Xenopus tropicalis: one gene and its partner. The protein of the gene in region 1 purifies or fractionates together with the protein of each later gene. This does not show direct contact. Links are inferred from orthologs where the notes say so. Each region holds a gene or a part of one and is shown in the gene's direction. Other genes may lie near its edges.

Evidence for each region. Proteins that work in one complex are often made in the same cells at the same time.
Region 2: the proteins of slc30a5 (region 1) and csgalnact2 purify together in Homo sapiens (co-immunoprecipitation; 3 studies listed by BioGRID and IntAct, counting the BioPlex papers as one, with this or other methods). This does not show direct contact. The link is inferred for Xenopus tropicalis from reciprocal best matches to the Homo sapiens genes SLC30A5 and CSGALNACT2.

The regions. Positions count from the first base shown.
Region 1 is NC_030677.2:186,433,919-186,441,193, reverse strand, and holds the end of slc30a5 (zinc transporter 5), read left to right. Parts: coding exon 1-128; intron 129-899; coding exon 900-1,149; intron 1,150-1,406; coding exon 1,407-1,633; intron 1,634-2,408; coding exon 2,409-2,537; intron 2,538-3,126; coding exon 3,127-3,203; intron 3,204-4,325; coding exon 4,326-4,341; coding exon of another isoform or gene 4,342-4,496; 3' UTR 4,497-4,915; downstream 4,916-7,275. UniProt on the Homo sapiens protein: Together with SLC30A6 forms a functional proton-coupled zinc ion antiporter mediating zinc entry into the lumen of organelles along the secretory pathway.
Region 2 is NC_030683.2:50,288,066-50,295,925, forward strand, and holds the start of csgalnact2 (chondroitin sulfate N-acetylgalactosaminyltransferase 2), read left to right. Parts: upstream 1-2,544; 5' UTR 2,545-2,676; intron 2,677-7,860. UniProt on the Homo sapiens protein: Transfers 1,4-N-acetylgalactosamine (GalNAc) from UDP-GalNAc to the non-reducing end of glucuronic acid (GlcUA). Required for addition of the first GalNAc to the core tetrasaccharide linker and for elongation of chondroitin chains.

The DNA.
Region 1 (7,275 bases):
ATGGTCGGGTAGAAATTCTGTCTGGATTTATTAATGGGCTTTTCCTGGTGGTTATAGCATTTTTTGTTTTCATTGAGGCTGTGGCCAGGATATACGACCCTCCGGACATCAATACAGACATGCTTACTGTAAGTACAACAGGTGTTTGTAGGTACCAAGTGCAGTTCATATTGTAGGGCACTAACAGAGCTTGCACTATTGAGCACACTGTGTCCCAGCTTGCCCATAATGCATATGTTTGTGGTATAGTATCATGGGATGTGCCGTCCTATCTACGTCTTGTGCATAATGCGCTAGCTGCAGGGAACTTGCTCATTATGTGCATGTGTGTGCTCCAACATCACACTGGAAGCTGCCTCCCGCTGCAGGGGCCACTGTACTTGATAGGGTGCTTTTGTTACAAAAAAAAATATATTTCTCCCTTCTGGAGTGCAGGCAATAAGTGATAAGTGCTGTTTAAGTTACAAGGGGAACCTAAATCCTGTTTTAGCATCCTACAAAAGACATCCTTTTCTCCACTTTCATACAAATCGCAGTTTGCCACTAGCCTGATGGTGTAGGGGAGGGGGTTCTGTACTGGTGATCTGTTTATCAAAAAAGTATGTTTAGCTCAAGCACTATTCAGTGAACTCATGTTGAACTTGGGGATATAGTTTGCTATGAACCCATTTAGTGCCTGACCCTGATCGAATGTATTCAGTTGACATTGTTTCCTGCATTTAGAGCCAAATTATCGTGTGTGGAACTAGCCAAAGTAAAATATTATACAACTGAAAGGGGCTGGACTGCATTTTTTGTACAAAATGTCTTTGCATTCTTTGTAGGTATAGGTGTGTGTATATTTTTTGTCGTGTAAGTATAATCTTTGTAACCATGTGCTGTCTTTTTCTTTTTGATAGCCTGTCTCAGTTGGAGGACTGATCGTAAACCTTGTTGGTATCTGTGCTTTCAGCCATGCTCATTCCCATGGGGCTGCTCGAGGAGGGTGTCCTTCTCATGATCATGGCCATTCTCACCACGGGCATGGACACAGTCATGGGCACAACCATGGTCACTCACACAGTGACCACGGCCATAACCATGGACATACCCACAACCATGGACACTCTCATGGGTCTGCTGGAGTAGGGATGAATGCAAATATGAGAGGTAAATGCATGTTCTGACCTCCATGTTAGTCCGTTCTATCTAGTCACTCCCTTGTCATCTGATATCTACAAATCCTAGCAGATGTGGCATAACCTATAAAAAGGCTGTAGAAACAAAGGCTTTGTCTTTTTTTCACATATAAATCCCATTATCTACTGAAGATTGTATATTCTGAGCTGTAGAAAAAACATAGAGCTAAAAATGGAAAAATTAACATTAAAATGTGTAGATCTCAATGATCACTTTCCATTTCGTAGGTGTGTTCTTACATGTACTGGCAGATACACTTGGCAGTGTTGGAGTCATTGTATCAACCATCCTGATTCGACAGTTTGGCTGGCTCATTGCTGACCCCTTATGCTCGCTGTTTATTGCTGTCTTAATATTTGGCAGTGTCCTGCCTTTGCTTAAGGATGCCTGCCAGGTGATTCTTCTGAGGATACCACAAGAAACTGAAAAAGGAATAAACATTGCACTTGAAAAGGTTAGAGCTCCGCATACCTTGTTTATTATAATAACCGTATCATAAGAAATGGCTCCCCAAAGGCTAATTTACGCTGGCCCCCACCATCGCTATTGTCTGTCCTGACAAAAGCGTAACAGACATTAGTTAGCACAAAAGCTACTCCTGTTTAAGGCTAGGTAGCCTTCAAGTCTTGAGATGGAAGCACTGAATTTATTTTATGGAGAACAATATGGGACTGTAAAGACTAATGTGGTTTAGACTTTTCTACCAGAGCGCTAGAGATTAGCACAGTATAGTCTGTGCACTTCCTGTTTATAAATGGGCCAGTGCGTTTATTTTCTTGAACTTGATGGACTCTGGACTCTTGGATCTTTTTTTTTTTAGCCCTATGTAACTATAATGCAACTGTGATGCATCATTCAAAAGATCCCTCTGTAAAAAGAAACCGTTATAGATACACCTAATAAGGTGTAAACCCAAGCACTGAAATACTAGTCATGTGCCAGTTATATTAATGCAACAAAAAAGCAAATGGCACTCGGCTATTTTTGCTCCGAAACGTTGCACCTCCGCAATAAATTTTTAAAGGGTTTTTCCCTTGTAGCCCTGAGTGCCATTTGCTTTTTTGTTGCCTTGTAGTTTTGGGAGGGTGCTGATCCCTCTTGCACTGTGCACCTGGCGTTCAAGTTTGGAGAGCTAGGGTGTGCGGAAACAGTCTCTATTGTGCTTATCCAGTTATATTAATGATCATATATAAATATAATTTTATTTAAACACTTTTTTTTTCTTCCAGATTTCTAACCTTGACGGTCTAATCTCCTACCGGGATCCACATTTCTGGCGCCATTCTGCCTCTCTAGTTGCAGGGACTATACATGTTCAGGTGATGTCAGATGTTGTAGAACAGAGGATCATTCAGCAGGTAAGTGCACTTTGACTAATGTGAGCCTGAAGCATTGGTTGTAACCACAATAAACACCATATTCTCCCCAGCCCCTTTTAGCCAGGTACATTTTGGTTCTGCTCCTGCCCCAAAGTTTGCCTTCTCCTGCCTTAATAGCACACAGAAGTTGGTTGCGATCTTTTGCAAATTAAAGGGGTGGTTCACCTTTAACTTTTAGTATGTTATATAATGGCTAATTCTAAGCAATTTTTCAATTGGTCTTCTTCCAACTCTTTGCAGTTTTTAAAGGTAGTCACTGACCCCAGCAGCCAAAAAACTTGCTCTGTGAGGCTACTTTTTAATTATTGATCTTGCTTTTTGTAACTTTCTTTACTATTCAGGCCCTCCCATATTCATATACCAGTCTCTCTTCCAAACTACTCCCTGGTTGCTAAGGTAACTTGGACCCTAGCAACCAAATAGCTGCTGAAACTCCAATCAGGAGAGCTGCTGAACTAAAAATAACTATAAAACTACAAATATTAAAAAATGAAGACCAATCACAAATTGTCTAAGAATATTACTCTCTACATCATACTAAAATTCAATTCAAAATTTTAATTCAAAGGTGAACAACTCCATTAACTGTGCTGTATTTGCAGAAATGCTCAGGCTTCCAGAAAAGTTTTTAATAAGGCAGATGAGGTGGGTGCAAACTTTTTGCATTTTAATTTGTATATTTTTCCCCATCAAGAAACTTTTTCATCCCACCCAGTGGCAAAAATGCTCTGGGTAAAATTCCAAGACACTTCTTCACCTTTGCAAATTGGAGCTCAGCAGTCCTTTACTGCATTATAGAGCCAACTAGTTCCTGGCTGCACTGCATCCATCCACACTAGGATTAATATAGAGCTTGGTGGGGCACTTTTAGTTTTGCTTTGATTTGGGGCCTTTTGAGACTTCACTAATTTAACTTAAATATACTTTGCTTACTTATTGGACTCAAGTGTAAAACATGTAAATAGAATTGTAGACTTTACACATGATTAGCTGTAAAGAACAAGGCTCCCTTGAACATTATAGAGATGCACACTGTTCAGCTATAGGCTCAGCAGAAGTATTGACAATAGGCACTATAGTGAAACAATCTTTTCATACCTACACATTTGTGCATTTATTTTTCCTAGCACTGTACCCACAATTAGAAGCCCTTTCTCTCTCTTGACTTTATGTATATGACAATTCTGGTACTTGGGCAGTAAAGAGTAATTTTTACCTATAGTAGGGATTGGTTTAGCTTATTTTCTGTACCAGATCTAACCTATTTATCAATGCAGGCTCACAGGGGCTTGAGAGGACTCCTATCCAAAATCTTTTTATTCTCCTATCTTTTTCTGTTGTAGAAAAGAATTCCAGGGACAGAAAGCATTGTAGGTGTTTTTTGTGTTAGAGTGAAGACTCGAGGAGCTACTAGTAGCAGCTGCTTGTCATGGCTACTAAAATAGACAATGCGGACCGTTTACTGATAACTGTCTCTACATGTGTTTTAGGAGAGGTCATTTTCAGTATTGTCTATGGCAGGGGATTTCCTGGCATTTAGTAGCCATGACAAGTAGCTGCAACTATGTAGCTTTGTGTGTCTTCACCCTTATAATGTATATATATTTAGGAAGGTTTACAGATACCAACTGCCCATATGAAGCCAGCTGCTTTAGCTCTTTGCAGTTTGATGATTGTACCCCAGGTAGAGACACTTAGTTGGTGTATAAGATTGCATTTTGTAATATAAATGTCAGTGTGCTCACCTCTGTCTGATTTTGATGACAGGTTACATCCCTTCTAAAGGACGCGGGAGTCAACAACCTCACTGTGCAAGTGGAGAAAGAAGCCTACTTCCAGCACATGTCTGGCCTTAGTACCGGATTTCAAGATGTCCTTATCATGACCAAACAGATGGACACTATCAAATATTACAAGGACGGGACTTATATAATGTGACAGAAAACCAGAACTTCCAAACAGTATTTATCCGTCTTTTGTCCAGGGAAAAATAAACACAAACTTGTACATAAATGTACAGATATAAGACTTTCTATAAATTTGGATTTTATAATTCATGGTTATTCTGTCCTTTTAGAGACTGAATCAGGATGTTTTATATATATATGTATTATGGTAAGAATGGTTCTGTTCTTTATTTTGAAATAATGGGATTGAGATGGGGCTTCTATACTGTGTTTTGTCTTTGTATAATAAATCTTGTGGTGGCCACTCCTATTAGAGTTGGTTGATTTCACCATTCCTACAGAGTTCTGTTTACGTAGTGTGTAATAAAGATCATGGGCTATCTTTAAATTAACACAAGAAACTTCATTGATAAAGTATTTTAAATAAACCATGAAGTTTTGGGTGCTTGATTTATGGCTCAATGTATCTTTGTATGATTCTCCTATCTCTGTGCCTTAGGGCTGATGGCCAGGGTCCTTTCAATTAAAACACTTGCTGTGTATTTATGTTGCACACATTTCACATTTGCCTGTGATTTTAAAAACATATCATTTGATTAGGGCCGGTATTACAAATTTACCGGCAACGTAATTACCTGGCCTTCCCCACGAATTTGCCCCATTCACCCCAGGTATACCTTTTCAATCTATTGTGTCATCATCCCACCCCCTTTCATCATCCCTCACCACTCTTAATCACGTCCTGCCCCTTTTCATCACTACCCACCACACTGGACAGTAAGGTTTTTTGCAAATGCAGGAATATTATTATTATTTCTTATGTGACATCCCTGTTCTTGTTTTGGTAGCAGACACGATCACTCATGAGGATCCTACGTGGTTTCTATTAATAGTTGAGGAACTATTTTTTTTATTACTTATCCTCCTAATTTTCCGTGCCCCTCTTTAATTTATATTCCAATCTCATTTAAACCACTGCCTGATTGCTAAGGTAAATGAGATTCTGGCAACCAGATAGCTGCTGAACAAAAAGCTAAATAACTGAAAAACCATAAAAAATGACAACCAATTGCACATTGTCTCAAAATATCATTGAATATAATACATCATACTAAAATTTAATTTACAGGAGAACAACCACTATAAGTCACTACGTATTGTTCCTTAGTACAGTAAAATATTTTGAATAGAAATTCTGAATGACTCTTCCGCCGTGGGGTCTAATTTCAGTGATCCCTGTCCCAGCAAAATGTAGGACTGTGTAGAGCAGAAACTTCTTAAAGTTTCTTACTTACACTCAGCTATGACAAAATGTGTTTAACAAACCGCTCCCAACAAAGGCATTTATTATAACTTTGTTTATTTTATATTGTTTTAATTCAAATAAACTTTCACACTTCATCATTGAAACTCCAGACTATCAGCAGATGGCGCTATCCCCAAACCAGAATAAATTTATGCTTATGTTAACTAAATGTCTCTGGCTTGTGCAAAAAGCACATAAAAGGTCGGTAATGTTTGCTTTAAGTTCCAGCAATGACCAAGGAACAGGGTTTCCCCCCGAAGAGAGGCCATGTCACTAGTGCACCCTTACAATCTGCAGGGACTATACTAAGGGCTAAACTCGACAGAAGATTTTGATCAGATTTTGTGGGTCACATTTTATCTGATTTTGTCATGCAACACCACAAGATTTTGTAGGATCCTACAAAACCTGACCTCCATAGGCCGTAATGTAAAGTAGGATAGAGGGGTTTGCTCCTGCATCTACATCCGACATACTATGAATTTCAATGAGAAAAAAATCTGTCAGAATCCATCAGGTTTTATCTTGTCAGATGAAGATGCAGCATGCTGCTTTCCCTTCTGACAAGCATGTTGTGTGGGATAGCAATCCTTTCATGTAGTTTAAACATGAGATTTTCTTATCAGTTCCATTGTATTGTAACCCATGAAACTACACCCAACAATTTGTCAGATGTGTTTTGTCCATCTGACAGTTTATGAAGTTCAGGCCTAAATATTATTCCTGTGCTCACAGCAGTGTTGGACTGGCCCAGCAGGAAACCAGGAAAACTCCCGGGGGACCCAGGTGTCAGTGGGCCCTCTTGCTGCTAACTATTTGCAGGAGTTGGACTGGTCCATTGAGATACCAGGAAAACTCCTGGTGGCCTGCTTCATGGTCATTCCCTATTGCTGTATAAGAACAAAGAGACTAGGATAATAAAGAGATTAAATGAGCAAAGGAGGAATAATAGTTTAGAGAATGGGCTCATGGTCCAAGGTTTTCTGGTGAGCCCCAGGCATCTCAGTCCGATACTGGCTCAGAGTAATCTTCCCCCACTTCAGAATCCTAACGCTGTCCTATAAAGCCACTGAACACCATCACTTATATGGCACTGCGGCTAATAGTCTGATGCTCTGCCTTCCATCCTACATCTTGCCTTCTTGACAGTATGGTACCTTCTGGCCATAAAGGTGCCCCTTCACCAATAGATACTGGCTTCAGGCTTGGGACACTACAGCAGGACATTGGCCCATGTGTCGGCCAAAATATTACCTCTCCAACTGATATGTTAGGGCCCCCGCATGTTCTGCTGAGTTGGTGCAGGTGTCCCATTGCTCATTGGCTTCCCTGCACTTAGAGTTCCCTGGGGATGGCTCTTACAGCATTTAGCTACACAAGGTGCAAGCCCACAAGGTTTTAGTGCCCCTACATTGCAGTTTTTACCACTGAGTTCCAACACATAGCACATTGCGGCATTTAGTCGCTCAGAGGTTAAAAGTAGTCTCTAACTAGCAGCAAATTG
Region 2 (7,860 bases), on another chromosome or scaffold:
TTAGCTGCAAATCTGAATTTTTTCAGTTGTCCGCCACAGTCAGTTAAATGAGAAACACGTGGCTGGCACAATAGCTGACTTGGTTCAGTGGCTACACAAGTACTGGTACAGCAGGTGATTCACAGAGATCGCAGTGACTGATTTGTGAGGCAGTTGATTTGGGCACTTCTTCGCTAGTGTAATCCAAATGTGAGCTAAACAAAAGACATAGTATGGTTTTTCAATTTTTCTGCTGCCTTATCAATCATGCTTTACATAACTACTGTAAGCAGGTTACTTAACTAATCTGTAGAAAAAATTGCAGTTAAATATCATACTAATATATATATATATATATAAAATAGCCAACAGCAGCAAACCCACTAGAGGTGTGTGGCCATAGTCTAATGCGACACAGGGCTGAATCTTGGCCAGAGTTTGACAGAGAAGTATAAAACCAAGGACTAGGTTTGTGAGGTTATTTCCATGTACAAAAGCCTTATTCAAGGTCAGACTCCATTCTACATCTTCCAGTACTAGTAGCCCATCATTTGGGGAAAATTGTATGAAATTGACTATGCAGGTGAAACAGAGTAGGATGTTGTGGTTTCTTTGAAGAGAGGCTATTATGTGGAACGCTGCTTTTAAAGGGACACAAAAGCCTTTTTATAAGTACAGAGAGATGTCTAGTCCCTAATAGTTCTTTGGAATTCAAGCTACTTCAGTAGCAGCTGTTTTTGCCTTTCAGCTTTGTTTAACCAAATGCATATCCTGAACACCATCCACCTTGCCTTTGCTCCTCATTTGATGTCATATGAATGAGCAATATATAAAATATGTCTCATGGAAGAACAGCTCACTCAATACAATAAGATAATGACTATTATGTAGTTTGATGCCCATGGGAAGACAACCCTGCCCAAGGAGATAATTTGTGGAAATAATAATATGACAAATTGATTAGCTAATGAAAATAGTAGCATAGATTAGAAGGTGTATAAGCAAACTTCATAAATATTAGGGATGCACCGAATCCAGGATTCGGTTTGGGATTCGGCCGAATTCATGTTCCTGGCCAACCGAATCCTAAAAATCACGTGACTTTTTATCATGTAAACACGGAAGTTGAAAATGTAATCTTTTCATAACCCAACTAGCATATGCTAATTAGGATTCGGCTTCAGTTTGGTATTCGGTTGAATCTTTTATGGGTTTCGGCCGAATCTAAAAAAGTGAATTTGGTGCATTCCTAATAAATATTGTATTCAGCCCCAGGGGAATCCATGCCAGAAGAGATGTCACACGCAAATGCCCCATTGAAGCCAAAAATCGCTACCCGTGAATGAGCAAATGCTTCTAATGACGTCACCACTTTTTGATGCAAAGTTCGTAGGATTGCAGAAAAATCGGGAGAATGCTATTGGGCAACTGGGGTGCAGCCAAAAGCTTTAACTATGAAAAAATTAGGGGGGGGGGGTTAACAGCTCTTGGGGGCACATTTACTTACTCACGAACGGGCCGAATGTGTCCGATTGCGTTTTTTTCGTAATGATCGGTATTTGGCAATTTTTCAGAAAAATTGTCGCGACTTTTTCGTTGCCATTCCGAATGTTGCGCAAAATCTGGCGATTTTTTCGTAGCGTTACTACTTGCGCGAAAAATCGTGACTTTTTCGTAGCCTTCGCGCCGAGTACGAAAGATTCGGATTCATTCAAGCTTCAGTATGGTGACTTTTCTTGGGCCAGGTTGGAGCTGCAGGGTGCCATTGAGTCCTATGGGAGGCTTCCAAAATCATGCTAAGTCTGAAAGTTTCGGCCGCCGCTTACGAGCGCTCAATACAAAAAAGTCGTGACAAGATACGAGCTCATCGTAATGGCTACGAAAAACTTGCGTTTTTTCGCGCAAATCGTATTGGTAACGAAAAAGTCGCGACAATTTCCGAAAAGTCGTAAAGGCGCCGAAAAAAATCGCGAAAAATGCGAAAAAGACGCAAAATGTTCGTTTTCCAATCGGAATTTTTCCAATTCGGATTCATGGGTTAGTAAATGTGCCCCTTGGTGTTATAAATAGCTTGGGAACCAATTTAGTTACTTCCTTTTAATTTATAAACAGGACTCAATTTTTCCTTTTCCTTCTGCTTTCTTTTGTTTCTACTTCCCATAATATAAATCTGTGTGACTGTTACATCAAATTCAATAAACACAGAATATACAAACAACAAATTCCCCTGCCCTTAATTTGCACAAACTCTTTTTTTTTTTTTTCTCAACTCAAGAGAACAGACTTTGATCGTGGAAGATGGCAGGGGACACTCTTGATAAAAGAAAAACAAAAAAACTTTTTTTATTTCAAGGGGAAATTGGGAGCTAAGGTGGCAGAGCGCATGGCGGTAACCAACAGGAAAGAAAAGTCCTTTCTTTTTTGTTCTCTAACACAAGTAGGAGGCGCAAGCAGAGCGAACAAGCAGAGCCACTCCAACTCACTAACAGTGCGCTACTGTGGAACGCTGAGTCCCGCCCACTCGCCACGCCCCCAAGGCGGCTCTGTGATGCGTCACTCACTTTACGTGCAGTTGTCACGCCAGTCTCGCGTGATGAGATTTGTGGCTGTGGGATTGTTGAGGAGAGAACAAGTGGGCACCCTAGCAACTGCTTTCCTTTCCGAAGCTCATTGACAGCAGGGGAACCGATAATCCAAGTAAGTAAGGCATAGCTATGTCCTTTTTAAGACCCAAAACCTACAGGGACCGGAACGACTGCCCCCCCATGGCGGCCATATATGTATCTGACTTTAATAAATGGCTGTAACCATCAGTTTTCCTTTAAAAAAAAGCGAGAGATGCTTTCCTAGAACTTATATTTCAGCTAAGACAAATCATCGCCTGTTAAGGCTGGCAGTGGCTCATGGGAAATATAGTTTAAGGATAGTTAAGTGTAGTAGACACTGGTTTTCTCTATTTTTTTTTTTTTTTAAATTGGTAACATATAGCCCAACTCAGCATGGAGAGATGTAGCAGTAACACACTGCATCATTTATATAATTGCTGTGATAATAAATAACTGAAAAACACAAGGTGCTTTGCAGATTTTTATTTCTGTTAAGTGATATTTGTTTTTAACTGGCACTTATGTCTATTAATGTGAATGGATCATAGGAAATCAATTGCTGCTGCATAATCTATAGATCCCTTTTTTAACTTAAAGGAAAAGTAACACCAAAAAATGAAAGTGTATAAAAGTAATTACAATATTATGTACTGTTGCCCTGCACTGGTACAACTGGTGTGTTTGCCTCAGAAAGACTACTATAGTTTATATAAACAAAGCTGCTGTGTAGCCATGGGGGCAGCCATTCAAAGGAGAAAAGGCACATAGCAGATAACAGATAAAGCCCCACTATATTCTACAGAGCTTATCTGTTATCTGCTATGTAACCTGTGCCTTTTCTCCTTCTTTCCAGGTTGAATGGCTGCCCCCATGGCTACACAGCAGCTTATTTATGTAAGCTATAGTACTGTTACTTTAGCAAATACACAACTTTACCTGTGCAGGGTAACAGTACATTATATTTTAAATACTTTAATACACTTTCATTTTTGGCGTTACTGTTCCTTTAAAGTAGTAACACTGACTGGTTAAAGTGTACACTGGCAGGTCTCAGGCATTTGTTTATGTCTCAGTGGCATATGGAGCTGGAGCCACAGCACACAGGTGGGATGCAGATGTTAGGGAGCATCTTTATTGGAGAACACTGACGTTATTTTCCATTGTGTGCATTGCTAACTGGCCTTGATTTAACTAAACACACTAGTTTATTTATGAAAATGTGCCCAGAAGCACTTTTTTTTTTATTTACAAGAACAGTTTGCACAATCTTAATTTTTAGAATTCTGTTTATTTTGGAATCTCATTACCATAGATTAGCAACATAGCACACATACAGAGTAATGCCATATAAGTGGTATGCGTTTCTTACACCCAGTCATAGGATTTGCTAATAATTTTACCTTTTTTTTTCTCTCTAAACATGCTTGCTTTTGATTAAATAAATCCATACTTTTTACAATATCCATAAAAGATTGCGCCAGTATTGAAATACTAATGTTGCTGATCAAAATTTCACTACATACAGTTTATAGCCTGTAGCAGTAATTTACTCTAAATAAAAATTTGTATGTACATCAGGTTATGAATGATTTTGCTGCCAAAAGATATCATCAAACAAAATTTTATTTTGTGTGCCTGACAAACTCTGGATACAGTAGAAATGTGTTTTGGAAAAAATTACAAAACAGTTATTTGTGTAATAAAATAGGCATCCACTTGGCTACATTTTTATCCTCAAAATACACAGAAACAGTGAATATCCTGTAAATTATATTTTTTTTAGATGATGCTTAGTGATGTCATCAGTTTTAATCAGTGTTCAGTGATGTAATTTGTCACATGACTCAAACTGAAAATTGTGTATTATCTCAAATGTAGCACCTGTTGTACCTTGGAGTTCTGTAATCTGTATAAAAGCACTTGGCAGATTATTTGGTACAGTGACAGTGTGCGGGGTGTTATGCACTAGTGATGTCCGGGGGCCGCCTGATATCCGCAGGTTTGGGCCGACTTCGGCACATCACTTGCGTGTCGAGGGCAGGTTTGGGTAGAGCTCTTCTGCTTTCTCTCTCCACCGGCGACCTAATACTGCCGGCTTCCTCTTATGGCTTCTGTATTTATAGGCACGCCCCGACATGCCCCGCCCCTTTTGTGCCATCATAGTGGGCGCTGGGTCTATAAATAGAGGGGAGAAGAGCCGTATCGGGTAGGGTTCGGGTTGTGAGCAGTTTTTCTTGACCCGCGCGTTACTAATATGCACTTCAGCTCTTTATAAATTATTACACGTGATTGTATATAGGCCTCATCCACTTCTATAAAATGATTAGTTTTGGCTGAACAGTGTGTTTATTCTTCAGCAAAAGGCATTGAATAGAAATGAAAACAGATCAATAATGTGGATAAAGATTTATGTGCTTATCTGAATGCTGCTAAAGACAGGAGCAGAGGAATAGGTGGTCCCTACCTGGCTTAAACCCACAAGATTATTCTATATTAATCAATGTTTGGTGGTGTAATGCTCAATTTTAAGTAAATTATTTAAACTATGAGGTTAGACTGTCAAGGTTGGGGTTGTTTTATCTGGGAAAAAAAGGCGCTTGTGAGGGGTCATGATTAGGTGATGTTCTTTTTTCCATAAAAAGAATCAGTGCAACAGAGGCCACCCCTTTTTATTGGAGGAACGGAACTTTTGTTTGTAGCAGCTTAGGTGGTTTTTTCATGGTGAGGGCAATGAGGTTTTGGAATGCCCTTCCTAGAGATGTTGTGATGGCAGATTCTGTTAATGCCTTTAAGAGGGGCCTGGATGAGTTCTTGAACAAGCATAATATTCAAGGCTATTGTGATACTAATATCTACAGTTAGTATTCATGTTGGTATATATGGTTTATGTATGTGAGTGTATAGATAGGTCACATATAGGTCTATGTGTGTGCCGGGTTCACTTGGAGGGCTTGAACTTGATAGACTTTGGTCTTTTTTCAGCCCAACTTAACTATGTATATGACTCACTGAAATTTGTGTATTATAATAACTATTGTACCCCTCCCACAGAAAATAAAGTTCCTGGAACCACCAGCAATTGCTCCAGTCATACCATGTTATGCAGAATCTTCTAGATTCTAGCAACTATCACAGGCTAGAAAAAGTTTTTACATTATCTCACCGTGTAGTGTATAACCAGCTTGATTTCAGTGACTCCAGAGCTTTTAATTACTAATAATGTTTAGAGCTTGATGCATGTGACGAACCAAATACAATACATACTCAGGTATGAGTTCCATTATCTGGAAACTTGTTATCCAATAAGCTTAGTCCCATACGTCTGTCCCATAGACTCCTTTTTAATAAAAAAATTAAAATTTTTTAAAATGATTTTGTCTTTGTAATAATAAAACAGTATCTTATCCTTGATCTTAACTAAGCTATAATAAATCCTTATTGGAGGCAAAACAATTTTATTGTGTTTATTTAATGTTTAAATTATTTTTTTAGTAGACTAACGGGATGGAAATCCAAATTACAAAAAGACCCCTTACCTGGAACACCCAAGGTTCTGAGCATTCTGGATATCAGATCCCTTATAGAAACAGACAAATGTCCACAAATGGTAACTTACTAGCTTAGGGGGTGAATATCATCAGTAGTAAATATGAGCAGGAACTCCAATGAGCAGTCCTCCAAACAGGCCCAAATTTTGTTTTGCACACATAAGAGCAGTTTTGTGTGTTTCGTGTTCTCTCAACAGTTAGTCATAGACTAAGGGGCAGATTTATCAAATTGTGTTCATTAGAGTGCCTGCTCATATTTACTAACGATGATATCAGGTCCCATACATGTATAACAAAATAAGCTGGGGAGGAATGTATTAAACACATGATTTTGTGAGCCATTAAATGTCTGTTTATATTGGGTGCATTTTTTTAATCCTAATTCCTTTTTTTTCAGTGCACAGCGGTGACAAAATAGGTTTTATGATTGCAGTACATGTAATTGGAAGATGTATGTTAGAGCCCTGCCTAATATTTTGGGCCGTTATAAAGACTTATGAATAATATTGAGGAGCAAATATATTTAGGCTGATCAGTGGAGGTTATGCTGGTGGCACAGAGTTGTCTGCCGGAATCTTTTTATTCTGTTAGCAGAGAGTTAATAACAAAGCAAAGTGAGAAATTTTACTTGTGGGCTTGAACTTCACTTCTGGAGGGAAAAGTAGGTGATTCTTGTGTGTTTTGTGAGATGAATGAGATGCAGTGGGTACCCATGGGACTCATGGTATTTAGGTTTAAACCCTGGCAAAATTCCTTCAGAATTTCTCTATTTGAGTTAATTGCCCCAATTTCTATGCTTGCAGCTTTGAGTTAATCGCCACAATAATATTAATTTGGCAAAGTAAGCCTAAAATAAGGGGCTCTTATTCTTGCTTTTATACTTTATCTGGTGTGGCAAGGAACTGATTCAGTAATGCCTAGCTGCTCAGAAATATAATTTTACATAACCCCCTCCACTGCCCTTCACCCTCTGATGTGGTTAAATGTGAATAAAAGGACCCTGCTTGCTTTTTTTTTCTCCCACTGCTGTGTACATAATTTAGCAGAGGGAAGTGTTTAGTAGCCTTAAGTTTAGAAGTGTCAGCTTGGTGCAAGAAAGAACAGTTGGCAGAAATTTGGAAAGAAAATAGTTTAGTTCACATGTGAGTTTCCTTTCTTGAGAATTCTTTTGGTAACTGTTCTGTTGACTGATCAGATACAGTGAAACCTCAGTTTTACATATTCTGGTTTTAAATTTTCCCCCGAATTTTACACCATTTTTTTCTGGTTCCCTAAAATCGTAGCTGCTAGTAAACAGACCTCATAGCCCCCTAGTTTTAATTGACATTTTGTGGTTTGTTATTTTTGCGGCTAAATAAATATTTCTAGGCTTTTTTTTAAATTCTATGTGTTTTATTCAGCCATTGACACCATTATAATATTTTATTGCATTTATTGTCGGGCTTTTTCATTTTTCATCATGGTGAGTGTATGACAAGCTGCTAAACATGGTGCAACAAGACTACAGGTATGTGATCTATTATGTGAAACGCTTGAGACCTGAGGTTTCTGGTTAAATGGATCCCATTTCTGTACCAGGCAAAATGCCTTTGTGTGTACAGTTTTTTTTTTCTTCTCTGCTTTTTAGTTTTGCAAATGTAACGAGTTAATCCTTTTTCCTGTGCTTGTCCCTGTGGTCATGGTCTATGTGCTAGTAGAAATGCTTCACACAGCACTTTTACTTACGT